Rattus norvegicus: one gene and its partners. The protein of the gene in region 1 interacts with the protein of each later gene in a biochemical or structural test. Links are inferred from orthologs where the notes say so. Each region holds a gene or a part of one and is shown on either strand. Other genes may lie near its edges.

Region 1 (4,275 bases):
AGAATTGAATGTAACTTTTTGTTCCTGAAAATGAAAATAAGCAGCACCTAGGAGGCTGGAGCAGGAGGATTGTTTTTCAGAACAACCCCGACTACATAGTGAAACCCTGCCTCAAAGAGAAAGGTCCAATTTATATATCTTCAACAAAATTGGGCTCATGGGTGAACTCTAATTATACTTTGATATTACAAGCAGCCTTAATCTTTCATGCTTTGGGAGTTTGTTATAATTATAGCTCTAGAATTCCTTACGTAACACTTCTATATTTCTTATAAAATTATATGTAGAACATAGAAATAGGATGGTATAGGGTATGTGTGCTTAGAGCTTGAAAGCAGGGCTTCATATAGGACATTTACTTTGTTTTTTCTTTTATACATTTATTTATTTATTATATGTGTGTGTGTATGTGCGCGTGCGTGTGCGCGTGCGTGTGCGTGCGTGCGTGTATGTGTGTGTGTGTGTGTGTGTGTGTGTGTGTGTGTGCAAATCAGAGAACAACCTGCCCATTCTCTCCTTCCAACATGTGGTCCCCCAGGGACTCACTCTGTCAGGAGTGGTAGTGATCACCTTTTCCCACTGAGCCATCCCTCAACCAAATGTTTGATTCTAAATTGATGTTCTTGAAGAGGACCAGAATTTGGTTCCCAAGACCTACATTAGGTGATTCACAACTGTCTGTCTATAACTCCAGCTTCAGAGGATCCCATTCCTGACCTAAGGCCTCACAGGCACCTAAATACAGATTGTGCACACACACACACACACACACACACACACACACACACACACACACACACACACACACACGTCTATCTCTCTCTCTCTCTCTATCTATCTATCTATCTATCTATCTATCTATCTATCTATCTATCTATCTATCTCCCAAATGATGCCCTCCAACCCCTTCACAGAGTTCCTCCCTCTTCCGTCCACTCCTTTACCTCCGAGAGGGCACCTCTGCCCCATATCTCCCACCCTAGTGCATCAAGTCTCTGCAGGATTAGGTGCATCCTTTCCCCCTGAGGCCAGACAAGGTAGCCCTCTGCTACATATGTGCCAGGGAATTGGACCAGCCCATGTATGCTCTTTGGTTGGTGGCTCAGTCTCTGGGAGTTCTCAGAAGTTCAGGTTAGCTGACACTGTTAGTCTTCCTGTGGGGTTGCAATCTCCTTGAGAGCCTTCAATCCTTCCCCTAACTCTTCCATAGGGATCCCCAACCTCCATCCAATGTTTGTCTGTGGGTATGTGCATCTGCCTCAGTCAGCTGCTAGGTAGGCTCCTGTCGTAATTAGGCCAGTTGCCTCCACTCCCCTTAGTTGTTATGCTGTGTGTCCATCAGTGGATTCGCCCGTCTGTGCCAGAACGCCTGAGTTCTGACACACACCTCTATTTGGACGTGGTGCTATGCACCTGTGCAGCAGAGGCAGGAGGACTACATCATACTTGGGGGTAATCTCCAGTGTAGAAAAATGTGGAACAACTTCCTTTCTGCCATCTTGTCCTGCCACAGCTTCTCAGCCCCTTTCTCTGACTTTTTTTTTTTTTTTAAAGTATGTGTGTGCCTAAATGCCATAGCACATACATGGAGATGAGAGGATATCTTTTACCATGTGGGTTCCAAAGATTGAACTTGTGTTGTCAAGCTTGGTGGCAAGCACCTTTCTTTATCCACTGTCTTTGTGGTCTCCATAGTTTTATTTAAATACAGTGGAGCTATGGTGATTCAGAATAGCCAGATACCTATATATTAAAGTTGTTAGCATGCTATATATTGGATAGATACTTTTGCTGTTGTTCTTAACTTTTTTCCCCCTTTCAACTCACAGAAACGATAGAAAATTCCCAAGGAGCCTACCAAGAGGCATTTGATATAAGCAAGAAAGAGATGCAACCTACACATCCGATCCGCCTGGGGCTGGCTCTTAACTTTTCTGTATTTTACTATGAGATCCTTAATAATCCCGAGCTTGCCTGCACACTGGCTAAAACGGTGAGATCTGTTGAGTTCATGCCTCTTTATAAGGGTGTTTAAGAAACTAAGTACATTAACTTTTAGGTATTTGGGTGCTCAAGGGAGGCCATTTTTATGTGTGTTAGACACAGTTTCTTCATTAGTGTCTCTTCCCCATACCTACCTCCCAGCCCCTAAATAGTTCTCTCACTGTGATTCTAAATAGTAATGTCTGACTGAAAAGCCTAGAGGGCAAAGTAGTAAAAGAAGTAAAAATAACTTTAGGCAGGAAACATCAAATGCTGGAAAGGAGTGCCTGCCAAGTTTGGGCAGTAGAAGCCTGTATCACCCTCCCCTGGTGTCTTAGAAGGGCAGTGTAACTACATTAGCTCTTGTAAGAATATGTAAGTGTTGTTAATATACTGTGTATCTTGTGAAAGAACCAACAAGTGTTTATGTAAATACTTAGAGTGAGTTTCACGATATAGTAATTCTCTTTATTTTATTTTATTTTATTTTTTTTTAAGAAGCAGAGCAAGTATTGCTTTAGTAAGGAAGGGTGAGGCCAGAACTCTCCCAAATGGGAGGAACCTGAAGGAAGAACCTTCACAAAATCTTAAACTAGATCTCCAAGGGACTACTTCCCTAGTGTTACCATAATGTGGTGGTACACAGGGTTGTATTTGCAGACTGGCTAGCTTCTGTTCCTGAATTGACTATATTACTCGCTGTTTAACTTTACCAGGCTTTTGATGAAGCCATCGCCGAGCTTGATACACTGAATGAAGACTCCTACAAAGACAGCACCCTCATCATGCAGTTGCTTAGAGACAACTTAACAGTAAGCTATTCCGTGTTGTATGTCTGTTTTCAGAAACAACAGTAACTTCATTTTGATGTTCATGCCTTTTGGAAGCAGGTATAGAAAAGCTATAGCCTCTTTGTTGTTATTTTGGGGACAAGGTTTTCTCTCTCTCTCTTTTTTTTTTTTTTTTTTTTTTTTTTCCCTTTTTTCTTTTTTTCGGAGCTGGGGACCGAACCCAGGGCCTTGTGCTCGCTAGGCAAGCACTCTACCGCTGAGCTAAATCCCCAACTCCCAAGGTTTTCTCTTGTGTAGCCTTGGCTGTCCAGGAACTCACTCTGTGGACCAGGCTGGCTTCAAACTCACAGAGACCAGCTTGCTCTGCCTCCCAAGTGCTGGGGTTAAAGGTGTGCACTAATACTGTATAACTAGAGCTCCATAGTCTCTTACAAAATTTGGAGAAGTGTCTTCATGGTGAAGAGGTATTTTATCAAACCTTTCTATGAAAGTTATAGGAACACAGTGTTATCATTGCTATTTGACTTAGTTGAACACAATAACAGTTAATGTAGAGAGCTTGTATAATTCTAATATTTCCTTTCTTTGAGTAAATTAGGAATAACAAATTAGGGATTCTGTATGTGTTAGAATCTCCTTATTTTACCAAAAGTTTACGTGGGAGGGCTAGAGATGATTGAGTGGTTAGGAACATCGATTGCTCTCTCAGAGGACCTAGGTTTGAGTCTCAGTGCCCACATAGTGGTTCACAATGGACAAACTCCAGTCCTAAGGGATCCAACACCCTCTTTCTGGCCCATGGACACTGTACATACACAGTATTCAGGCAGCATGCCTGTGCCTACAAAGGTTTAAAAAATTAAGTTGTTTTTGGACACTTGATAGAGGGTTTTCTTGTTTGTAGTCTATTGCACTGTGGAAACATGATGACTGAAAAGCATTGGGAAGAGAAGAATTTATTACAGTTTTTTCAGAATTGATTTATACTCCACCGTAGAGGGAAGTCAGGAGCTAGGCGGTGGTGGTGCACACCTTTCATTTCAGCACTTAGGAGACAGAGGCAAGAAGATCTCTGAGTTTGATTGAGGTCAGCCTGGTCTATAAAATGAGTTCCGAGATAGCCAGGACTACACAGAGAAACCCTGTCTCAGAAGAAGAGGGTAGTCAGAGCAGGAACTGAAGCAGGGGCCATGGAGGAGTGCTGCTTTTACTGGCTTGTTTCCATGACGTGCTCAGCCTTCTTCCTTTTATTACTCAGAAGCACATGCTCAGGAGTGACACTTCCCATGCTGAAGCTAGGTCCTCCCAGGCCAATCACGAGTCAAGAAATGCCCCAAAGACATGCCTACAGGCTAATCTGATGGAGGCATTGCCTCAGTTAACTGTTCCCTTTACCCAGATGACTCTGGCTTATGTCAGGTTAAACAAAAAGAGCTAACCAATACAGAGGCTACACCTATGTGTAAATTTACCTCTGCTTGTAAGCCAAAGCCTGTTTTAT
Region 2 (4,761 bases), on another chromosome or scaffold:
ATTTATTTATTTTTTTTGGTTCTTTTTTTCGGAGCTGGGGACCGAACCCAGGGCCTTGCGCTTCCTAGGCAAGCGCTCTACCACTGAGCTAAATCCCCAACCCCAAGAGATATTTTATATGAGCAGATTCATACTGCTCAACCTATAGTAGGGGGAGGAGAGGCATGTCAGGTTCTCATTGTAGCATAGGCAAGAATAGTGTTTCCTGGTCTCAGGAGCACCCTCCATTGAAAATAAAACAAAAATAAAACAAAACCAAAAAACCCCGTGATGTCTCCTAAAATACACACATCCATTCATTTAAGTGTCAAAAAGTAGAGCTGGGGAAATGACAGCTAAACCACAGGAGGGGAAATCCTGCCAACTGCTGACCTGAAGCAACATTCATTGCCAGCAGTGTTTCCAGCACCCAACAATTCACTACAAACAGCTAACTGCAGAGCTCTAGTCCACTGTGAAGAACTTCATTCAAAAGTCAAGTTTTGACCATGAGTGATAACACATACCGTTAACCCAGCACCAGGAGGCGGGCAGACTTCTAGTTCCATGCAAGCCAGGGCTTTGTAATAAGATTCCAATCAAAAACCAACCCTCAAGTTTCTCTTGTCTTTTCTTTTGAGGTTCTAGGGATTCACCCTGTCTAGGGCCTCACACACCACACAAGCGCTCTATTGCCAAGTTTGCACTTTTTATTTTGAGACAGGGTTTTACTAAATTGCCAAGACAGGCCTTGAGTTTTTGATCCTTTTGCCTTGACTTCCTGAGTAGCTGAGACTACAGGCCTGTGCCACTAGGCTGACGTAAGGAAAACTTTCCTACTAAGTAGAAAAATTTAAAGTAGTGAATACATACTTTTCTTTACTGTCCAAGGGCCCAGGAGAATCTAGACAGAAACCTTTGAGAAATAAAAACAAAATTCTTAGAAAATAATATACATTCTGGTGTTAAGCAACATTTTCTTAGTATGTCCATGGACCCTCTTCTGTTTGCAAATACCATCAGAGAAACAAGATTGAAGAGGCCAGCTAGTATCAAGATTGACTTTTCAGATAGTATTGACCCCTAAATCTTTTTGTGGAGCTCCCCCCCCCCAAATATACTTCACTTAGGGGTATGAAAAATACAACCAGCTAAGTTCAGTTCCAAGAGGCCCATCTGGTGTATACTGTGAAATTGTATCTTAAAAAAAAACAGTCTTGGAAAGATGGTTCAGAAGAGCACAACTGCTCTCTCATAGAGGACCTGAGTTCAATTCCCAGCAACCACACAGGCTAATGCCCGTTAACTCGGCTCCAGCAAATGACACCCTCTCCTGGCCTTCAAGGAAAGTACACACCGTGTGCACACAGGAGAAGCATGCAAGCCAACATCCACACATAGAAAAGCACACACTTAAAGACATGGAAGACTCCGCACTCTTTTCTCTCCATAAACTGTCTCAGGAGCTCCCTCCTTCCCTCTGAAGGAAGGGTGTTTGTCACTCCACATCATAATTTCTATGTATACTGTTACCAATTAAATTCCTAGGCAAGACACTTCCAGAATGGCTGACTCCAGATGAATGAATGGTGAAGGCTGAACAAATGCCTGGATTGGTCAGGGGGATGGTGGCCCATGCCTTTAACCACAGCACTCAAGAGGCAAGAGGCCAATGTGATCTACATGGTGAGGCCCTGTCTCAAAATAAATAGATTTAATTAAACTTTTAAAAATAAGGGGCTCAGTGGTTAATAGCACTTGGTGCTCCTATAGAGGGGACAAATTCAGTTCCCAGCAACCATATCAGGCAGCTCACAATGTCCTGTAACTCCAGCCTCAGAGCTCTGATGCCTTTCGATCTAAACACCTACCTACACACATGAGCACATACATACACATAAGTAATGACAATACCTGAATCAGTCGATTCAGAGGAGCCCATTCTCTGTAGACTGCTGCTATTTCTCACGTCCATTGGTTTCTCATAGTCACTGAAACCAAGAGAAATACCTCCACATGAGCTATTTTTAGTATTTGACTAAAAGGACACATACAGGAGATGGGTTATGAAGTAGCCAGGCTGCCACAAACCATCTTGAGAGACCAAGCCAAGGACACCCCACACTCACACTTGGCCACCCAGAATACCCCAGTTGGCATTTAAACAAAGAAAGGAGTGAGTGGCTTGGCCTTGGACCACATTGTAAGACATGCCTGTGGCAAAGGCTGGGTTGTTTCCTTAAATGAGAGCCTCAGTCTGAGGTACCATGCTAGGAATAAGGGCAAAGGTGACTAGGCCAGGAGTCCCAGCTTTTCAGGGTTTGGAAAAGTCGAAAGGCACGTTTAGGAGGCCAGATGCCCAACACCGAAGGAAAAGCAACTTCTCTAAAAGCATTTTTGTTAGTGGTAGTGGTGTAGAGCTACTAAGTCCACCAAGATTTCCAATGTAGAAAAGTTAGTTTAAAAAGTGATAGCTGTAAAAAGGTAGATGGGTAGATATAAGAAACGTGCGGGCCAAGCGGCTGCATAGATTTTGCACAAATGCAAGAAAAGAAAATGCCATGTCCCTTTGTTGAGAAGGAACAAAGCTTACAGGAAACTAAGATCCGACGCGGGTGGTTCAGCAAAGAGTGGTAGTGAAGGCCATTTTCCCCCCGTAAGGGTAGATTCCAAAGACTTTTCTGGAATAGAGACAGAGTAGATTGAAATCTGAAAGGGGTGAACAAGACAGGATGCCCAGCAGGCTTCCCTGACCTCCGGTCTGGCTCGGGCTGAGGATAGCCCTGGACTATCCGAACGGCCTCTCCCGCCCAACATTCCGCCCGGGGGGAGGGTGCACATGGCGGGCCCTGGCCAGGCCATCCCGGATCCGGGCACCAGAACCAGGGGGACAGACTCTGCTTCCTGCTAGGTCATCCCGAGGGCCGACCAGAGGCCAGCGGCCTGGGGCATCGCTCGCCAGTCTCTCACCTGCCCAGCCCTTCCAGCTGGTCCATGGTGACCGTCAGGTTGGTGACAGGGGACAGTCCGCCAGCAGCTGACGCGCCAAACAGCACCTTCCCCGTGGGCTGCGGCGCAGGAGTGGGGCTGCAAGTGAAGAGCAGGCGGCGGCGGTGGGGGGGCTCCGGGCCCAGTTCCATGGCGCCGCCGGGCCTGCCCGGACTCCCGCTCCGTCTTCCTCCGCCTCCGCTGCGCCGGGCCCCGCCCCGCTGGCACCGGCTTCAGCCGCGTGCCACGCCGCCAGCGCCCGCGGGTCAAACACAAACACGACCCCGCGGTTCAGAGACGCGGCCGCCACGGGCAGCGGCGCGGACGGGCGAGCGTCGGGGACTCGGCAGGCGCCAGGCACAAGCACCGGTGCTTCTCTCTCTGTGTCCCGCGAGGCCCGTAGGCGGGCGGGCGCCTGCAACCTCAAGATTAAATCCAAACAAACTCCGCGGAGCCAGAGTCTTGAGGCCACCGACCGGACTAACTCTCCTCACTTTTTCCTTCCTCTTCGTTCGGTACCCGGCACAGAGGAAAGGAACCTCCACTTCCCTCACCACCAAAGTGGCCTTAGCGTTAATTGCTGCACACTCAGGATAGCCGCCGCCCCGCCCCTTCCCTAGTTGGCGCCAAACGGAACTCACCAATCAGGAAGCATACTTCTCCTCGCTCCCGAATGACAGCTGAGCTGGACCAATGAGAAGGAAAGGAGGAAGCATCTCGCGGGCCTCCTCGTGGTCACTCCCTCTCTCCATGGGGGCGAGGCCTGAAGAGTTGGGAGGTGGCAGAAATGAGAAAGGAGCAGAGAAGTCAATGAAACTCCCTGTGAGGGCGCTAGTCCGGACCAAAAGGCCCCCCCTATCTCGCTCCTTTCCAGTTGCATGCTGGGTAGTGTAGTTCCCATAGAGTGTGCTAGGCCGGTCACACACCTAGTCTGAGCTGCTGAGCCTAGTGCTGTGTGCACTTTTAGGAGACATAGAGACTAGGGAAGGCCATCTGGACTTGGCTTTGGTTCTTCCTCTGTGTAGTACAGTACCGTGGATCCCTCTTTTCCTTCACAGTCCTTCAGGCTCTGATTTTGAATTTCTTTCTTTCTTTTTTCTTTTTTGAGACAGGGTTTCTCTGTATAGCCCTAGCTTTGAACTCAGAGATCCATCTGCCCCTGTCTCTTGAGTGCTGAAATTAAAGGCATGTGCCACCATTCCTGTTCCAGGCTCTGATTAAATTAAATTAATTTTTGAAATAGAATTTCTTCTATAGCCCAGGCTGAAACAGGAGTAGTAGTTGAGAGCTTTACATCATCATGATCCACAGATAGCAGGCAGACAGAAGAGAGAGGAGAGGGGAGGGGAGGGGAGGGGAGGGGAGGGGAGGGGAGGGGAGGGGAGGGGAGGGGAGGGGAGGGGAGGGGAGAGGAGAGGAGAGGAGAGGAGAGGAGAGGAGAGGAGAGGAGAGGAGAGGAGAGAAGAGAAGAGAACTGGGCCTGGTTTGGGTTTTTAAGAATTCAAAACCCACTCCCATCAACACACCTGTTCCAACAAGGCCGTGCCTACTCTAAAATCTCTCCCAAACAGTCCTATCAAGTGGGGATCAAACGTTCAACCATATGAGCCTATGGGAGCCATTCTCATTCAAATCACCATAAAAGTACTAAGTAGCACATAGTGTTTATGTACATGACAGTGTTTCAAGTGTGATAATTGCTTAATCCTTACCAGTCTTACATCACAAAAATAATACCAGGAGGAACCAGAGTGAAGGAAAGGTCGTTAATTTAGTCATTATTTAGATGAATAA
Region 3 (4,275 bases), on another chromosome or scaffold:
AAAAGCTGGATAAGGAAGAGGAACAGGTGATGCCCAGTAGTGCCCCCTCGGAGCTAAGGGGACATGGGGTGGAGGGACCAGGCTCTGACTCCTGCCATGTTACCTTTGCCAGGATCTCATCATGTTCAGCAAGTGCCAGCGGCTTTTCCGCTCTCCATCCATGCCGTGCAGTGTGATCCGGCCCATCCTCAAGAGGCTAGAGCGGCCCCACGACAGGGACGTGCCTGTCCTGAGCAAGCGCAGGAAGAGTGGGACACCCCTGGAAGAGCAGCAGCTTGAAGAACCCGTTAGTTCCGCCCTCTGGGGGGCTGGGCTGCTCACCTGGGGTGTGTTTGGGCTGCAGATGCTCTGGGTGTCCTCTCCTGGGCAAAGGTGCAGCAGTGGGTAGTGTGCAGCTGGTTGTTTAGGTGGCAGGGGAAGGAGGTCTCAACCAAACAGCACTGAGAGGCAGTCTCTTCCCTCACCCTGGCCTCCGTCTGCCTTACTTTCCAGAAGGCCCGGGTCTTCCGCTCAAAGTCCCTGTGTCACGAGATTGAGAGCATCCTGGACAGTGACCACCGTGGCCTGATTGGAGATTACTCTAAGGTAGCATTCTAGGGCTTCAGGAGGCTTCTTTCACCCGCTCTGGAGCCCTAATGCAGGACCCATCTGTCCCCAGAGGTCCCCCCTTCCCTCTGTGTCTTTTCATTCTTGTTCTCATGCAGACTCTTCCCTCTGGGTCCCCTTCCGATGCCACCTCAAATCTGTCCAGGCATCTCATCCTCGAAAAACATTTCCAAATCAATCTCTGGTATGCAATCTCCTGCCTCAGCCTTCGGCTTTCAAACCCAAGAGCAGGAAGCAAGAAGGTCTAGGGCTTTTCCTTCCTCTTTTACCCTCAGAAGGTTGTTCCCTGGGTGCAGGCCCCCAGAGGTTTCACTCAGCTGAATCTGAAGGCTGAGGCCGGTGTTGCCTCTGTCCTTCCAGTCTCTGTGTCTCAATGTGTTTCCCTGACTCTGCCTCATCCCTCCCTTCAGGCCTTCCTCCTGCAGACTGTGGATGGCAAACACCAAGACCTCAAGTACATCTCACCAGAAACTGTAAGCAGGGTTGAGCCACTCTCCAGGTGCATTGGGGACCACCTTCTCTTGGCTCTTGTCTTCCTCTGGGGATGGGCTGCATGTATAGACTATCGGAAGAGAGAGGGAAAACCTTGACTACAGTCTCACCTGCTGGCACCAACCCTGATGGCCTCCTACAGATGGTGGCCCTGTTGACAGGCAAGTTCAGCAACATCGTGGAGAAGTTTGTAATTGTGGACTGCAGATACCCCTATGAGTATGAAGGCGGGCATATCAAGGTGAGACGGGTGCTGGTAAGGCCAGGCCCTCCATTCAGATTCCTTGCCGAGAAGATGAATAGCCTTCCATGGTGAATTTCCTATGGGGAGGATTTCTGCTCAGCAAGAGGTGGGGTTACTTACCTGGGAACTGAACAAGAAGGGCCATGGTGCAGGCTTCAGCTTGACCCCCAGATCCTCTGACAGAATGCTGTGAACTTGCCCCTGGAACCGGATGCCGAGACCTTTCTGCTGAAGCATCCCATCACGCCTTGTAACCTGGACAAGAGAATCATCCTCATTTTCCACTGTGAATTCTCATCTGAGCGTGGACCACGGATGTGAGTCCTAGCTCTGTCCCATCCTTGTGGTCAGTGGCCAGCCGGGGCCCACCCTCGGCTTTCTTTGCCTGGTACTGAGTGCCAGAGCATCTTGCTGCATGTGATAGTTTAGAGCTGACCTCAGCTCTCCTGTTGTAGACGACGTATCTTACCATTGTCTTCCTTCCACCCACATCATCAGACCGTCTTCGGTCCGTTGCTGCATACCCACAAAACGTAGTGCCAAGTACAGTAGCATCCTTAAAATCTGAGGATACTGTGACACTCAAGCACTTGGAACCCTGCTACTGTGCTGACGACCACTGGGGTCCATTGCTTTCCTTCAGCCGTCTTTCCTCTGTCCCGGTGTTCATGGTTATTCTTCTGCCTCCTGGTCCAGGGTGGCCACCAGCTCCACCTGGCAGCTGTTAGCATCTGTCTCAGCGGACCAGAATCTCCTTCCCATTCCCTATACACGAACTTCACCCCTCTAGCACAGGGTTCCAGTTTTCTCATATGATTCTTGCTGGGCAATGGACCAGTCACGGAGCTTCACTTTTTTGATCTTTCCGATCCTCCCTTCCCATCTTCCCTTGAGTCCTTACCACCTCTGATCCAGGAGACCCTGGAGTATATGTGGTTTTTCTATGTTGCTGTACCCAGTGTCTGCTACCTAGTAACCAGTCTTGCCTAGCAGGTGACATGCCTGTGCTGAGAAGTCTGTGCACGTGGGGGCTCTTAATGCAGTGTGTACAGGGCATGGTCTCTTTCCGGCATGCGACCTGCCCTGAACCACCTCCCATGATACTCCAGGTGCCGCTTCATCAGGGAACGGGACCGTGCAGCTAACGACTATCCCAGCCTGTACTACCCTGAGATGTACATCCTCAAAGGCGGCTACAAGGAGTTCTTCCCGCAGCATCCGGTACCATGGGTGGGATGGTCACAGCTCTCCCATCGTGGACTGTAGGAACAGGACCCAACTAGGCTATAGGCCCTACCCATACCCCCACCCCCAGCCCCCAGAACTTACTCTTTCTCCCATACTGATGGACTCTTCTCATCTTCTCATCCCCTAGAACTTTTGTGAGCCCCAGGACTACCGACCCATGAACCATGCAGCTTTCCGGGATGAGCTGAGGAACTTCCGCCTCAAGACACGCAGCTGGGCTGGGGAACGGAGCAGGAGGGAACTCTGTAGCAGGCTGCAAGACCAGTGACGAGCCAGCCTCAGTCCTGCCACCATCCTTACCTCAGGAGGCTTGCGAGCCAGTGGGTCCCATGGGCCTATGCGGCCACCTACTTGCTAGAGGCCTCAGGTGCTATAGGGGGTTGGGGGGATGGTGTGGTGTCACATCTGTCTGTCCCTGTCCTCAATTTTCCTGTCTCACTCCACTAATTTTCTGTATCTTGGTACTGATCCCATCTTAAAGAGCTGAACCAATGGGTGAATACCAGCTAAGAGGAAGTCCTTTGTGTTCAATGAGAGCCCTTTTACAATCTCCTTTTTCCTTGTTTGTGTTGACTCCTTGTCTTACCCCTTCGCAGGGAGAGCCTCAGCCCTTTAAGATGAGCACAGTAGCTTCTTGGGTAGCCTGGATGCAGGACGCTACACTGCTGCACAGGGCTGTGTCTGCTCTCCTCTCCTGGCCTCTGCACAGATTCCTCCATTGGAAGCATAAGTGCTTACTTTTCCTGTTGTCGTCTTACCCATAGCTTTCATTTTCGTCTGTCTCACTTAGCGTGTCCCAGGACACACTGACAGCTGGGGAGGCTCCCTTGTACAGCTGGGGACTAGAGATTCAAATATCATGTACTCATTAGGCTTGGCTTTTGTTAGCCCACAAAGGGATCTTTTCCTTTAAGACCCCCAGAGCTAGAGCAAAGGCCTGATTCAGGAGCCTCTGGGAGCCCCATCCTCACTGCTGTGAACCCTAGAGCCTCGCTGGTCAGCACTTGTTGCTGGGCAATGAACCAGTCACTGAGCTTCACTTTTTGGTCCTTCTCTGTCCCTCCCTGTCCCTCTCTGTCCTTCTTTCCATATCTGGTCCTGAGTATGCATGGTTTTTCCGTGTTGCTGTACTAGTGACAGAGTCTAGGCCCTTTGTTGGATGGTCATGGATGCACAGTGCCTTGTACACATGTATGCACACAAATCGAGTGAAGTATTTTGGTAAGCATGATGGCCTATGGCAGGAGTGTGTGTGTGTGTGTGTGTGTGTGTGTGTGTGTGTGTGTGTGTGTACAAAGTCTTTACACTTAGCATTTGGAAATATTAAAGAAATATTGTCATAGGGGAGGGAGGAAGAAGCAACTTTTGGGTTCAGAATCTACATATGAAAAGGTCATGCTGGAAGGCCCCCAATGCATCCTCTGTTGGGGCCTTGGTTCAATAAAGCACTGAGCAAGTTGAATAATCTGTTCGTTTATGCGGAGCTGCTGACCAGGCCATAGCAGACTGGATGGTAGGATGGGGGTGAAGACAGACCAGTGGAGGTAGAAAGACTCTCTGGAGGAGAGGGACCTTATACCTCATGCTCTCTTCTCAAGTTTTCCCTGCTCTCTGGTTTTTTTGAAATAGAGGAAAGGGTCCTCTTCCTATGTAGCTCAGAGTGGTGTCAAACTTGTGGCTGTTGT
Region 4 (4,798 bases), on another chromosome or scaffold:
GCTTCTACTAATTTTGGGGTGTTTTTGTATTAGGGGTCTATCTTTATTTCTGATCTCTTGGTTTCTAACACCAAGCCTCTATCTGAGAATGGGACTCTGTAAAGCCTTATAGATACCCTGGGTGATGTTGGGGCGCCTCTCCCCTACACTTTGTTTGCTGCTAGAGCCCTTCTATGTACCAAATGCAATTCTGTGAGGTCCAATCAGCACACGGTAATACTCCCCCGTCCCTGGAATGGAACACTATCATTTGAAAGTAACTGCATCTAAGAGTATATTCCAGAACTTCCTCATGTAACTTTTGTTCAGGTTCGTATTCATCAGTACTTACTTCGTATTTACTCAGTATTCATCAAATCTCTGATTATTGCACATCTTTATCCTTTCAAGTACTTCTGAACTTCATGTTTCATCTAAATGTTAGCAGGCTGCAGATCCTGCATTATTTTGTATGTAAATTTGGTAGTGTACTTTTCTATAAGCAGCTGCACTGGCACTCCTAAGTGCGGTCATTTTCTTCTACTCTTTTTGATTCCACAATTCATCCCTTGGCTTCGCAGCTGAGCTATCCTAGCGTCTGAATTTCTCCCAATGAACGAAGCTCTCTAGTTCACTATTACCCTGAGATAATGAAAAGAATCTATTGCATTTTGCGAATTGTTTTCATCCACATACCTTCAATTATCCCCCAGTCACGGATCAAAAAATACTATTCGGTCTCTATTCAATTCCTACAAGTCAAGGCCTAGTAGACAGGCCAGCATCCTAGGACAGTCAGACCATGTAGGGTGGACCAGATGCTCTCTCCTTCGTTCTAGATGTGAGATTCTGGAAATACCATGCACACAGGATGAGAAATTGCACTACTCTCCTGATGAAAGGTAATGGACCCAGGGGCGTCAGAAGCATGATCTTTCATGCCCATCCACACCCGGGTACGCCACTTATAGGTGCTTGACCCAGGTCTAGAAGAACCCCAGCAAAGAAGGGGTGGGTCTCAGCAAACCGGGACGCGGTGGCGGCGACCCAAAGCCTACACCTCCGCCACAGCAACGGTCCCTGAATTCCCAGTTCCCACGGCCACGCAAGGGCCCATAGTCACAGCCGCACCCCCAAGCGGCGCGCCTGCCCCGGGGCAGGGCGGGGCCCGCCGCGCCTGCGCACTCCCTCTGGGCTCGGCGTCCCCCGCACGCAGCCCACGTGACCTGTGCCTTGCCCAAGATGGAGGTTGCAGCCAGGCCTGACCGGGCCCCCGTCACAGTCTGCGCTCTTGCGCGCCCCCTTAGAGCATGAGACATGAACTCAGGCACACTATATTGACCCGGGCAGCGCCGCGGGCTGCCGAGGAGGTCTGTCAACAGCATCAGTCAGTACGTGCACCAGCTCCCTGCTCTTTCTCCACAGCGAAGCTCTCAGAGCTAGCGCCTGGAGAGTCCTCGGTACGCCCCGCTCACTAGTATTGACAAGGCCGGGAGCCAATGGGGTTTGTAACTTTTGAGAGAGGCCGATCGAAGGCGGAGCCCCTTTGCAGCGCCCGCGAAGCGGGGGTGGCTGTTGGGCTATTGTAGGGCGGACTTAGGACTCTCGGACCAATGGAAGAGCAACTGAATTCTTGGAGGCGGGGCCGAGCCGTAATTGACGCTTTCTTCATTAGAAACCAGGCAGGGGGCGGGGCCCACGGGGGGAGGTGACGCAAAGCCGTTGCAGCCAATGGCTGGTGGGCCGACGGCGGGAGGGGCGGGGTTGGAGCGCCTGACGGGCGTAGGGCGCGGCCTATCCCCGCGCGGCTCTGCGCTCGAGGGGGAGCAGCATCATGGTTCAACGTGGGTCAATTTTTTGTGAATGAGGAGGGGAGGTTGTGGGGCCGCTGCCGCGGAGCACCATCCCCGCCGCCGCCCGAGCCCGAGCCCGCGCGCCTGCTCGCGCCGCCGCCGTCGCCGCGCCGCCTCACGCCCGGCCCGCTCAACGCGACTGCTGTCGCCGTCGCCGCCCGAGCCCGCCCGCCCGCCGGCGGCGGCGCAGGCTGAGGAGATGCGGCTCGGAGCGCCCGAGCAGGGCTAGACGCGGCCCGCCGCCGCCGCGGTAAGCCACCGGCCGTCATTGTCCGCGCCGCCCGGTTGCTGGCGGCAGGTGGACGCCCGGCCCCGCCGAGGCCTCGGGGCCCTGCGCCGCGGGCTGGCGGGCGGGAGAGCGGCCTGCGCCGGCGGGCGGGCAGGTGGGCGCGCGGGGGCGGGGGCCGGGGCGTTTATGTAACTTTGTCAGCCTGTGAGTTTGCAGAAAACGCCCCTCGGCGGCGGCGGGCGGCGGGGCGGGGGCCGCGGCTGGGCCCGGACGGTCGTTGGGCTGGCGAGAAGCTGCGCTAGCCCGGGAGACGACCCGGTGTCCACCCTGAGCGAGCGTTCCGAAGGCACGGCTGTAGCCCACACCGCCGGAGTCGGTCGGAAAGGCCGGGTGTGGAACCCGTGTTCTCCTTTAATGCACACGGAGAATTTGTTAATAACTTGCAGCCGCTGATAGCAGTGTTTTGGTTATTGCATGCTGTAAATTGACCTGCTGTGACACGATTTTCAAATAAAGCGTCGCAGAAATTAAACTTAAGTTATTTTAGAACTAATGACTTTCTTAACTAAATCCTAATTGCATTACTGTAGAGACCTACCTAATTGCTTTCCGAGAGCCACTCTGCCTGCTCGGGGAGGAAGGAAAGGCCTGTGTAGTCACTTTGCCTCCCTGCTTTTCTCTGCTCAGGCGTTTCTGCCTGTTCCCACAAACCACCTAAGCATTTAAGGCCTGCGGAGTATTAACGTGTAAACAGCCATGGCCCTGTCGCACTTTGGGGCTAGGGGGATGCTGGCGGCTTGCACCTTGACCTGGTTTCGGTTTTTCCTCCGTGATATGATCGAGGTTGCCAGGAGTTTTAATTGCTTCTGATAATTCCGTGCATTATTTCAGGACCGGCTTGATGAAAGCTAGTGTGGTGGTTTCAAAATCCATCCAGAAAGAAGGTGGTGGTGGTGGTGGTGGTGGTGGTGGTGGTGGTGGTGGTGGTGGTGGTGGTGGTGGTGGTGGTGGTAGAACGCTTGTGAGAGGCAAGGAGGTTGAATTAAGAAAACTCAGCTGCTTCTACACAAATATACACTATAGCAGTTACAAGGCAGCAAAAGTTATTGCAGAATTTTGCAGTCTCTATGGCAACACAATTACTCCATTATAATTGGAAATGCAAAATGCCACCCAGTTAGAAGTTTCATCAGAATGGAGTTTTGGATATCAAAAAAATATGCGAGATTTAGTTAAAAATTCTCATTTTTCCCCAGGTAGCTTCTGCAGCTCTAGTCTAGGTTCAATTGTCTATTTTTAAGACCCATTCGCTTTCCCAGATCTGCCACTCCTCGGGATCTGTGGCATCTTTCCCCAGAAGAACTCCCCGTTTGTGTGGGAGGGAAGTATTTTCATGCTTTAAAAACACACACCCGACACACTGTAAGACTTCTATGGCTTTCTGTGTTCTGGCTTTTCTTTTAAAGATCAAATGCCTTCCTGAAGAGCAGTAATCACCCAGAAGAGGCTGGGTTTGCTAGAAGGCCGAGGTAACACTGCCCCCTTTAGGGGTCTGCCGGCTGCTTACCGGGTATCTGAGAGCCCTGAGGGGGAGAGAATGACTGTGGACTGCAGAGAGGCCTGGAAAGCCTAGGGACCAAGGACAGATGTGACCAAAGCAGCCCTAGCAAGAACATTCTGTGGTTAGCAGCGTCAGGGAGCTGGGCAGCATATAAAGCCCCCAGGTGGCACCTTTGCAGAAGTCAGGGGCTGCTGCTGTGCGAGGTGGCAAGAGAACATGGCACTCTTCACGGGGCTCCTGGCACCTAGCTTGACTTTGGTTTCGAAGCTGTGTTAGGATGATGCCCCTCTTGATGTTTACCAGAAGAGCTCTGGTGCTGGAAGTTTCCACACATCGTGGGGCTGCTGCAGCTTAATTTCGTTATAACCCTTTCCTTTTAACTACTGCATATTTTTGCCCAGTAATCGACTTCCATTTTCCAGCCTCATTGTGAGGTTTCAATGCAGCATGAATGGCTTTGAATTCCAATCCTTTGATGTTGGGGGTGGCACCAAAGGAAAGGAGACTTTGTGCCGTCCTAATTGCCAGAGCAGAAGAAAATTTCATCACTCCTGTCGAGCCTCGTCCATGCCATTTTCTATTGAAAACGGCTGGTTTTTCAGAACTCTGAAGCTACCATAAGTAATACATTAATACCTGACGTGGGGAACCAGGGAGATGCAGAAATGAGAGACACCTGCTGCACAGGGAGATTGGGGGTGGGGCTCAGGCCCAAGACCAGGGTTTTTGATGTCTCTGGGCCCTGGGGTGACTGAGCAGGCTGAATCCAGAGTTGAGCTCATGTCCCATTGGTTGAAACCCAGCCTTGGGGAGGGGTCCCAAGGAGATTTTTGGGAATGGCTTTGTTTTGATCTCCAGTGACCATCTTGTGTCCTGCTGTTCATCCACCTCTGGGCATTAAGTGTGACACTGACCTTCGAGGTTCAAATGACTGAGGGGCAGAGTCAGAAGCGCTGTCGCATTTGAACAGATCCTAGTCCATTCCTGCACAACTCCCTGAGCGGTCTGTCAGGAGGTCAGTTGTTTGCTCTTGGGCTCAGGTGAGTGAGCAGGATGGGCTTTGTTTTGGGCGGAATGTGGACTGCCATCTGCAGCTGCTCTTTGCTTTGCTGCCACCCTTGCCTCTCTGACATGCCTCCTGGAAGGCCAGACGGGGTCCACACAGACGGCCTCCAC
Region 5 (4,820 bases), on another chromosome or scaffold:
ACAGTGGAGAGGGACCTGCCCAGCCAAATTCTTTGCTCTTTATTTCCTAACACTGAGGTGACAGCAATGGCCTGAGCTCCCACAATGGTTTACTATTTGCAAAGGGACTGAGGAGAAGGTATTCGGTTTCACCTAGTAAAGAAGGTGAATGCTGAGGACTCTTGGTTTTTTTAAAATTTTTCTAAAGCATACAGGTTTGGCCTGGGGAATATAGAGCACTTGTCTATCAAGAGCAAATTTTAGCAGCACAAGAAACAAAAAGAGACAGCAAGGCACCTGTAATAGGTGTGCATCGAGCTTTTCCAAGTCCAAGTTTTTTCAAAGGAGGCTGTGGAACATGAAGTTGGCAGTGTGAGTGGAGAATCAGGGACTGACTCCATACAGCTCAGTTCGTGAGGAATAGCAATAAGCCAAAAAGGAGCGGAGTGACAAGGCAGCTTCTGCTCTGGACTAAGTTATCACAGAGCAGCTCATGTGCCAAACTGGCCACTGATTACCACTCTCCTGAAATCAGTGCACATGCGCCAAACCTCACCTCCATGATCCAACACTGTGTGAAGCACATCGGAGCACACAAACCAATAATGCATTTGCGCTTAATAAACAGCACAAAAAACCATACTGAGGCCACTCTCTCTGCCCAACACAATGCCCCCACAGCCTCTCTAGGGAACAGGCAGGTCAACCACTCCCCAAATGCCTGAAGGTGCCAGTCAGTCACTTGGCCTCCTTCCCCCTGCTCATAATCAAGTCTAGGAAAGTTCTCCAGTTAATCGAAGTCTAGCTACTGAAAGAAAGGTAGGAGAAAAGGGTACGTACAGAACAGCCTCAAAAGAGCTGGACAAAGTGTTTCCCAGAAGAGATACAGCTGGCAAGCAAGGGACTGTGCAACACAGACCAAGCTCCTCAATTTCCAAAGATCTCTGTCCCAGGCAGGCCTAGCTTCCTGGTGGCATGCCAGACCCAGGCATGAAATAAATCAACCATCCCTCCCTCTCAACTCCCTGCTCTGCCCCAACAGCAAACAGTCCATAGGTATTATAGGTCCACGGTGACAGAAACTCCGTCCTGATACCTCCTTAGTTCCCAAGTGCCCAGGTACAGACAGCAAGAGAGGAACAAAGCAGAAAAGTACAGGAAAGGAAAAAGGGATGAAGAGGGCTTTACAAAGAAGGAAGTCGATGCTAAGCAAACACAGCAGCAGCACTAGCCTACCTGGCTACAAAGAAAGCAGGGAACAAGAGGGAAACACAAAGGGTGCTGATGCGCTAAGTATGCCCCCTTCCAACATGTCTGTGTTTAGTAAAATTCACCCAGAAACATGTGACAGGCAAGGGACTGTCCAAAAGGCAGGGAGCAAGGGACACTAGAGACAGTGAGACAAAAGAGACAAGTGTAAAGAGGACGACAGAGAAGAGGCACAAGCTTGGGTGACAAAAAGCAGTGGTTGCCAGGATGAAAGGGAGAGCACAAGGCCCAGCTGCTGACCCACAGCACAAGCAGTTAGCATCCACCCTGGGAATGGCAAAGGCTAGCCAACGGAAAGGGAAGGGACAGAGCATACAAGGTGTAAACAGACAGTGAGAGGAATAGGAGACCCATCAGGACAGGAAAGGCAGCACTGATTACGGAGTCATAGTATGAAAGAGGAGGAAGGTTGAGCAATAGGAAGTAGCAAACAAGGAGGAAGATACTATGATACTATGAGAAGTGACAGACACCGGTTTGGAAAGACAGTATCCGAATTTGTGTTGCAGTGTAAGTAGGCAGTAAAGCAGGGACTGATGCAGCTGATGCAGCCGGCAAAAGACTGAGCAACAGGTTACGTTAATACAGCCAGGCTAAAACACCGTCTTTCCCACGGTAGAGGGAGAACCCAGGGACAATCTGGAAGAGCATTCAAACACAGACAGAAAGCCTAGGGACTCAAATGCCAAACCCCAAGGGGAAGAGAGCAGGAGCGATGCAAAGCCTCTGAAGGGAGCGGTGACTGGAACCCCAAAGGCAACCTGTGGGAAAACTATGCGCATGACAGCTGTATGGGAAACACGGAAGCGACACATGCCAGTGCCAGGAGCCTGGGAGCTCCTGCTGAAAAGAAGGGAAAGTGATGAGCAAAGAGTAGGCGAACGATTTGGAAAGGTGACGAGGGTGGAGCTGGTGGGTTGCAAGCAACAAGGAGAGCTCAATTTGGAACAGAAAAGGAGGATAGAAAAAGCTGGAGAAGTGAAAGGGCATAGGGACCGAGAACACACTCCGAGACACGGACTCTTGTGGGAGAAAACCGAGGACTGAGAGCCGGTGCGGGTAGAGGGGGTACAAAGCTAGAGATGCAGAAAGAGGTGGGCAACAATCCGCGGCAAATCGAGGAGCAGGAAGGTGGCTGCTTTAAGCGTGGGTGGAGGAAGACCAGAAAGGCCCCTGAGAGAAAAGGGAAGAGAAGGAAGCTGGGGAGATAGCACGGAAGAGCGCAGGAGGGCGGTGAGAGGCGAGGGGCGTTTGGCAGAGATACAAGTGTGCAGCTCAGTCAGGACAAGGTGGGTCCCAGGTCTGGACTCGGAAGAGGGATGTGCAGGGCTGGAATCCGGGGCCAGATGACAGTCTAGGCTTGCAGAAGAAAGCAGGAACACGAGGAGAGCAGAGGGAGGGAGCCTTCGTAAGGTGCAATGGCCCAGCCACAGAATTAGGGGAGCCCCGAGGGCTCCTTACCTGCTCCGTGTCCCTTTCGTTCAGCGTGGGTAGGGGGGTCCGAGCGCTGGACATGGCGCCGGTATCTCAGGGGAGGGAACGGAGAAGCTTGGAGGAAGGGAGGAAAGGGAAGGCTAGGAGCCCGGCCGGGCGGGGCTTCTCACAGCAGGAGCACCCGCTGCATGGGCCCCGGCCGGGGGTGCGGGGAGGCCGGGCGATGGCTCACGCCAGCCCGGTGATGCGCCGCTCGGGCTAGGCCTCGCCGGCTCCGAGCGGCTCCGGACCGCACCCCCCCGACCCCCGGCTGGGTTGTGCCGCCTTTCGGCCCGGCCGCGCCGCTCCGCCTACTCTCAACCGCCGCAGCCGGCCGCCTGCCTCGCTCCTCCCCTGCCCTCAGCCGCACTGCTCCGCGCCCGACACACAGGCAGCCGCTGCCGGACCTGCTGCTCCCAACATGGCCGCCACCACCGCCAGCCCTCGGCTCTTTCCGCCGGCAAGAGCCGGAAACATCCGAAACAACTAGGAACGGGAGGGGGAAGAGCCTTTTCCTCTCAGCCCAGACTATGGGTGAATTCCGGAAACTACCGAAGAAGGTAATCCCCGGGGACGCGCGCACCTCCTAGATTCCGAAGACCAAGCTTCGGCACTGTTTACGGAAATCCACGAAGATCCTCTCCGCACCTCCACAGCCAACCAGCAGCCACGCCTACCAGCTTTTCTCCGCCCACTTGGAGCAGGCTTTCGGTAGTTTCCGGAAACAGCCGAAGAGGCTCCGCGTGTGCAAAGCCGGCCACGCCCCCGTTCCGTCGCTCAGCCGGGAGCGGTAGTCAGCCATTTCCGGCAACACCCGAGAACTGCCGAGGTTAAGAGTATATCTCTTCGTTTCTTTCCGTCAGTTTTCGTTTATTTTCTTTCTTTTTTTTTTTTTTTTTTGGTTCTTTTTTTTTTCGGAGCTGGGGACCGAACCCAGGGCCTTGCGCTTCCTAGGTAAGCGCTCTACCACTGAGCTAAATCCCCAGCCCCTCGTTTATTTTCAAACCTTGAACAGGCGTGGGTCACCTGTACCTGTTGTTTGATTTAGAAAATACAGCTATGGGTTGGGGATTTAGCTCAGTGGTAGAGCGCTTGCCTAGCAAGCGCAAGGCCCTGGGTTCGGTCCCCAGCTCCGAAAAAAAAAAAAAAGAAATTACAGCTATTAGCTGTTCCTACAACTGGTGTCCTTTGAACCTAACGCCAACTTCCCATCCGCATGTTTGTATGTTAGCTCATAAAATCCACCTTATCACTCAACCTTTCTATCAACATGTGAGTCAATGTAGTGTCACCCTATTGCCCCGTCTCCTGCTTTGCACACCTGCCCATCTTCCAGACTATCTTGGCTTTTAGATATCCACCCGACAGTCTCATACTGACTGAGTCCCCTCATTCCTCTGCAAGGCCTGGGACAGGCACCAGGTCAGCGTCTTTGAAACTTAACAGTTGTAGATAGGCACAAACCTCTAGGATATAGCTTAGTTTTGAGAAAAATGCTTGTGTGATCTTGGGGGCATGTAATCACATAACAAAGGCCAGCAAAATAACTCAGTTTGATCCTTGGGGACCCACATAGTAAAAGGAGAGAACCAAGTCTAAAACATTGTTCCATGAGCATGCTAACCTATACGCTAAATTAAAATGTAATTAAAATAGATTTTTACAAGTTGGAAAGATGGTTCAGAAATCAAGAGGGAAGACTGGTTGCTCTCTCAACCAATCCAGGTTATTACCCAGTATCCATATGGTGGTTAACAACTGTCTAACTACAGTTCCAGGTGATATGACACCTTCTTCTGGCTTCCACTAGATTGCACAGATCACATACAGGCTAAACACTCATATACACAAAAGTTAAATAAATAAATATTACATAATGGGCTGGAATGATGGCTCATTGATTAAGAGCATTTACTGTTTTCCCAGAGATCCTGGTTAGGTCCCAGCATCCACTTCACTACCCTTTGTAACTCCATTTCCAGAGGAACTGATGCCCTCTGGCTTCTACCAGCACCCACACACAAGCACCCATAAAAGCACAAACAATACACACACAAATAAATACTTCTTTAAATTACACATAACATTTCCTTTTTGCT
Region 6 (4,740 bases), about 27 Mb from region 1:
CTTTCGTGCCTTCAGGACAGCAGGTGTAGTTGATCCTCTCTTGGGGTCTTTTCTCTTCATATGACTAGAAGGCCATTACCTAAGCTTGTCTTAAGACTAGTCCTTTCCATCAATCAGGCCTTGGCTCAAATGGAAACACCGTAGGAAAGATCTGTGTTCTTTACTGGCCACAGTACTTAGCCTCATGTTCTTGATCATGGTTACTGCTGTTTGTCAACCATACTGATAATTAGGGCAACACAGTGTTACACTGTTAATTAGGGCAATTGTTGCTATGAGAACTAACTTTATTTACTGTCTTACTTTTCTATTTTCAATGTAATCTGTTATGGCAAGAACATAGTCAAACTTCATAAGTGGATGGCTAGTGCCAGCAGACTCTGGGACAGCAGTCCTCCTTTCAGAGCTAGGATAGCTAGAAAACACAGATGTCTCCCACTCTGGCCACTCTTAGGTAAAACTAGGTGCTTTAAAGTACTCTGTAAACTTAGGAACAGCACCCTTATCCTGTCTACCCAAGCAGTACTTTGTACCACCAATCTAGAGAGTTTTCTAGAATAGTGAATGACTATATGTAGTTGTGAATTTTAAGATTCCATCACTGACATAAGACACAACCCTGTAGAAAACCACATTTCAATGAACCATTAGTCAAGACAAGACAAACAAACAAACCAGAACAAAATTAACACACTGCAAAGAAAACATGCAAAAATTGTTTTGTGCTTGTGCATGTAAGAGGAAACATTGGGGAAGCTGAAGTGAGAAGTAGGGCTGCCAAGATCTTCAGAATTCTCAGAAGGTTTCTGATGCTTTTCATTGCAGCTTGTTAAAGCAAATAGGGCTCCTGTACATCTACAAACTCAAAGAACCGACCCCGAAACAAAGACAGAAATATAATAAGGCCTAAGTTCTCCGAAGAACCTCTTTTTGCTCAGCCACCAGTATAATCAGATCAAAATTAGTGCTGTGGATGTGGGGCAGGAATCACTCCTAGAAAGTCAGGTTTAGATTGACAGTTTTGAAGAGGCTGAAACACAGAAGTTCCAAACACAAAACAAAGTAGAAAGCAAGAACCCTATTCAGACCTTGCTCTTGCCTGCCCTTAAGAAGGCGGTGGGTGGAGCAGGTGGGGTTGATGGAAAGGGTACAGACTATTACTAGAGAGACAAGGGTTTAAAGAAGTCAGCTGACTGGGCGCCTACCCTTTAACAAACTCGAGGGCTCCCAGAGGGAGTCCCCTGTTAAGTGGGCTCTGCCGGGCTGGCATTCCCGGGTCTACTCCTGTAGGATCCTTTGGAAGGGGTGGCCAGGACTGCCCTAAATGGGCGGGTCCGCGGCGCTAGTGTCCGCCGAGTGGGTTGGGGCGGCTGCTGCGCACAGGGGGCGGCTCCCCGCTGGGCTCCCGTTCCCCTCCTCGGCTCCGCGGCGCCGCCCTCGCCCCGCCCCGCCCCGCCGGCGCCGACCGCGCCGACCCGCCGCGGTCCCCGGAGCGGAGCGCGCGGCGGCGGCAGTAGCTGGGCGCCTCCCACGCGCTGCCGCGTGCCCGCCCGCTCGCCCGCCAGTCTGCCCGTCCACCGGCCCCGACTCCGCTCGGCCATCTTCGCCGCTCCCGCCCTCGCCAGCCCGGGCCGCGCGCCCTGTCCCCGCGCGCGGACTTTCCCGGAAAGTTTGGTGGTTGTTTTCGGCCGCCGCAGGCAGCGGCGCCGCGCCCCACCTCCGCCAAACTTTGGGGCTCACTCGCGCCATGAGCGCCCCTCCGCTACTACGGCCGCCTAGCCCGCTGCTGCCCGCCGCGGCCGCTGTGGCCGCCGCCGCTGCTGCGCTGGTCCCGGGCTCCGGGCCCGCGCCCTTCCCAGCGCCTGGGGCCGCCCCGGCGGGGGGCATCTCGTTCCATCTGCAGATCGGCCTGAGCCGCGAGCCGGTGCTGCTCCTTCAGGACTCCTCTGGCGACTACAGCCTGGCGCATGTCCGGGAGATGGCTTGCTCCATCGTGGACCAGAAGGTAAGGTGCCCCGGGTCCGCCAACTTTGCAGCCGGCCTCGCCCGCGCCGTACAGCCTGGTTGTGGCCGGGTTGCATGCTCTTACCCCAGGCACTGCTCTCCGGGCCGCGCAGTCCTCCCGGGACTGACCTCCAGCCCTTCTTCGCTGGCATGTCTGCCTTCTCACCTTTACCTCCCTTCCTCCGGTGACAGTTCAAGGAATCTTACACTTTTCTCCTTGCGCTCCAGCATATTTTTGAGATTTCCTGGCTGTCCCGACTCCTTTCTCTGGACCAGAGCCTACCTGGTGTCAGATCCACTTCCCAGCACCAGAGTTCCCTTGGGACAGCCCTTCGCTTTTTCAGCACCGCTCCCTTCCACTCCATCCTCTTTCAGCTCTAATTGATGCTGCGGAGTTCCGGGTGTGACCTGGACGCCAGGGATTTCTCACCTGCCAATAGTGCTTTTAAGAAAGGGTGATTGATTAAGCCAGCTGTGAAAACAACTGAGCAGTTGGTGCACACTACCCAAGTCCTCCCTGGATTTAGTACCACCTCTGTTGGAGCTAAGAGACATTTTCCAACAATAAAACCTGAAATTTACAGCATTTTGTGCTTAAATTTCCATCCACTGATCTTGGGAGACTGGAGTAGTGAGAGGGTCTGTAGTTCCAAGAACATCCAGTGCTGGCTTTGCCCTTAAGTTTGAGGCGATGCGATTCTGGATAGCGGTCATCAAAGACTGGTTGGAGAAAGGCTCATAAGGCTGGGCTTGGCCACCCACCATTGTTTCCAATGATGAATTCCACTTTTGAAGTTAGGTTATCTCCACAGCCATCCAGAAGGATGCTTCATGTAAGGTGGAGGACCCTTGCATGTGCCACTCCTTCCCAGTGTGGACAGCCAGGGCTCTGGGGGAGGAGAGAGAGATAGAGGAGAGGGTTAAAGGTGCTGAATTTCAACCTTGGAGGGCTGACTGGCTACTTCTCACCTTTTAATGAATAGTCACCATCTTAAACTGTTTGGAACAAAGTGTCCTACACTTTTTGAGCACAGAGTTCTAGGGAATTGCTCCTGGGAAGCACTCACTAACCAGGAAGTGAAAATTCTAGAGGCCAGACTCAAGTAACAGTGAGTGCCTTGAAGTTTGGTTAATTAAAGGGAGTGATTTTTTTCCTTATGTAATTGAACTCTTTGTAGCTCCCTTGAAGTACTGAATTCAGTCCTCCCTCTTCCTGGAGATGGTGAACATGCAAGCATTCTAGGCTCTGACGGCCTCACTATATAGCTTTCAAATGTTTCTGTTATGAAATGGATTGATTGATTATAAAGCACTGCCACACAGGCATACACAACACATGTAATAAAATCATTCACAAAGCCCATTCAGTTCCATAACAATTTAACAGGACGTTCTAAAGAAGATGGTATAGTGTTAGAATGTCCCAATGGGCTAGATTAATGAGGACAAACTTTGTTTTGACCTGCTTAAACTCTCTCTTTGTCTCTGCCTTCCTGCCCCCCCCCCCCACGGTGTGTCTGTGTGTCTGTCTGTCTTTCTGTCCTTGAAGTTGTGAATGGTGAAATACGATTCAAGAGGTTTGGGTTGGGCTTTTGAAGAAGAGTGAATTTCACTTGACTCAGGGGGCTGCTATCTGGGGAGTGTTATCAGCACCCAGGAGAAGTGTAAGCAAGAGGACATACAGGTGCAGCAGGCTGGAACTTCCTCAGTAGGAGATGTAGGGAAGGTTCACTTATGAGAAAAGTCTTGAGATGATTAGAAACTTACATTGTAAAAAACTCAGTAATCTTTTCAAAAGAGATAACCAGACCGGGCGTATCTGAGATCCACATTAGCTTTGTGGAGGGTGTTTTAGAATGGCAAAAATGTAATGGCAGAAAGAAAACTGGAGTACAGTCAAGTGCTGTTTATATCTGAGCCAAGACTTGGGGAGAGCTGGAGGAATGCTGGAAAGAGAAGGGCACCAGTCTTGCTGGCGCTTTCTAAGGGGAATCCTTTCTTTATTGTGTTTATTTTGTAGCTTTTCACCAAAAGAAAAGTTTGAAAACTTTTCCTGGGATAACCATAGCCTTTTTTTAAATGGGTCTGGCAAGGTTAGAAATTTTGAAATGTGAATTTTATAATACATGATATTATAAGTAAAAATACTAAGTTATGGGTCTAAACAGTGTGCCTCTTCAGTTATTCTCTCATCTATCGATGTAGATATCAATAACCTATTATCTGTATCTGTCTTCATCATCTATCATCTCTCCAGCTGTCTGTGTCAATCATGTAACTATCAATCACCTATCTGTTATCTCTCTACCTATGCACCATTTGTTTGTTATCTATGGATCTTCTGTATCGATTTTTGGCATATGTTATTTGCCAAGACAGAATTCTTGTGCTGTGACAGCAAGAGTGGGTAGCTTGCTAGTATAGAGGTAAGGAAGTGGGAGGGGGCTTTTGTCCTTTGTCTCATGGTTTCTCTTAAGCTTCAAGAAGATAACAACTGTGAGGAAGAATGATGGGGGTGGGTGGGAAAGAGAGAGAGAGAGAGAGAGAGACAGAGAGAGAGAGAGAGAGAGAGAGAGAGAGAGAGATCTATACATACAGGTTTTTAAGAAGAAGGTTCTCTTGATTTTTATAGTCCTTCTATTTATTGTTTCAGTATTAGGGGGCTTTTTATCTTGTCTGTGCTCAAGAGCCCCTAAAAACTAACATGGACGCTTAGCTCGTTGGAAGTATTCACTG

Evidence for each region.
Region 2: the proteins of Ywhaq (region 1) and Cdc25a form a complex in vitro, tested with the Homo sapiens proteins (2 studies listed by BioGRID, with this or other methods). The link is inferred for Rattus norvegicus from reciprocal best matches to the Homo sapiens genes YWHAQ and CDC25A.
Region 3: the proteins of Ywhaq (region 1) and Cdc25b form a complex in vitro, tested with the Homo sapiens proteins (2 studies listed by BioGRID). The link is inferred for Rattus norvegicus from reciprocal best matches to the Homo sapiens genes YWHAQ and CDC25B.
Region 4: the proteins of Ywhaq (region 1) and Hdac4 are reported together in a solved structure, tested with the Homo sapiens proteins (2 studies listed by BioGRID, with this or other methods). The link is inferred for Rattus norvegicus from reciprocal best matches to the Homo sapiens genes YWHAQ and HDAC4.
Region 5: the proteins of Ywhaq (region 1) and Mark2 form a complex in vitro, tested with the Homo sapiens proteins (2 studies listed by BioGRID, with this or other methods). The link is inferred for Rattus norvegicus from reciprocal best matches to the Homo sapiens genes YWHAQ and MARK2.
Region 6: the proteins of Ywhaq (region 1) and Prkd1 form a complex in vitro, tested with the Homo sapiens proteins (2 studies listed by BioGRID). The link is inferred for Rattus norvegicus from reciprocal best matches to the Homo sapiens genes YWHAQ and PRKD1.

What each region holds. Positions count from the first base shown.
Region 1 is NC_086024.1:46,666,966-46,671,240, reverse strand, and holds part of Ywhaq (14-3-3 protein theta), read left to right. Parts: intron 1-1,829; coding exon 1,830-1,993; intron 1,994-2,699; coding exon 2,700-2,795; intron 2,796-4,275. UniProt on the Homo sapiens protein: Adapter protein implicated in the regulation of a large spectrum of both general and specialized signaling pathways. Binds to a large number of partners, usually by recognition of a phosphoserine or phosphothreonine motif.
Region 2 is NC_086026.1:118,741,649-118,746,409, reverse strand, and holds the start of Cdc25a (M-phase inducer phosphatase 1), read right to left. Parts: upstream 3,363-4,761; 5' UTR 3,120-3,362; coding exon 2,950-3,119; intron 2,661-2,949; exon of another isoform or gene 2,573-2,660; intron 1,971-2,572; coding exon 1,894-1,970; intron 896-1,893; coding exon 853-895; intron 1-852. UniProt on the Homo sapiens protein: Tyrosine protein phosphatase which functions as a dosage-dependent inducer of mitotic progression. Directly dephosphorylates CDK1 and stimulates its kinase activity. Also dephosphorylates CDK2 in complex with cyclin-E, in vitro.
Region 3 is NC_086021.1:138,866,236-138,870,510, forward strand, and holds the end of Cdc25b (M-phase inducer phosphatase 2), read left to right. Parts: coding exon 1-26; intron 27-112; coding exon 113-286; intron 287-492; coding exon 493-585; intron 586-1,016; coding exon 1,017-1,079; intron 1,080-1,240; coding exon 1,241-1,339; intron 1,340-1,525; coding exon 1,526-1,659; intron 1,660-2,451; coding exon 2,452-2,563; intron 2,564-2,717; coding exon 2,718-2,858; 3' UTR 2,859-4,052; downstream 4,053-4,275. UniProt on the Homo sapiens protein: Tyrosine protein phosphatase which functions as a dosage-dependent inducer of mitotic progression. Directly dephosphorylates CDK1 and stimulates its kinase activity.
Region 4 is NC_086027.1:100,194,585-100,199,382, reverse strand, and holds the start of Hdac4 (histone deacetylase 4), read left to right. Parts: upstream 1-1,745; 5' UTR 1,746-1,823; exon of another isoform or gene 1,824-2,082; intron 2,083-4,798. UniProt on the Homo sapiens protein: Responsible for the deacetylation of lysine residues on the N-terminal part of the core histones (H2A, H2B, H3 and H4).
Region 5 is NC_086019.1:213,951,990-213,956,809, forward strand, and holds the start of Mark2 (serine/threonine-protein kinase MARK2), read right to left. Parts: upstream 3,161-4,820; 5' UTR 2,764-3,160; coding exon 2,710-2,763; intron 1-2,709. UniProt on the Homo sapiens protein: Serine/threonine-protein kinase. Involved in cell polarity and microtubule dynamics regulation. Phosphorylates CRTC2/TORC2, DCX, HDAC7, KIF13B, MAP2, MAP4 and RAB11FIP2. Phosphorylates the microtubule-associated protein MAPT/TAU.
Region 6 is NC_086024.1:73,771,133-73,775,872, reverse strand, and holds the start of Prkd1 (serine/threonine-protein kinase D1), read left to right. Parts: upstream 1-1,466; 5' UTR 1,467-1,747; coding exon 1,748-2,005; intron 2,006-4,740.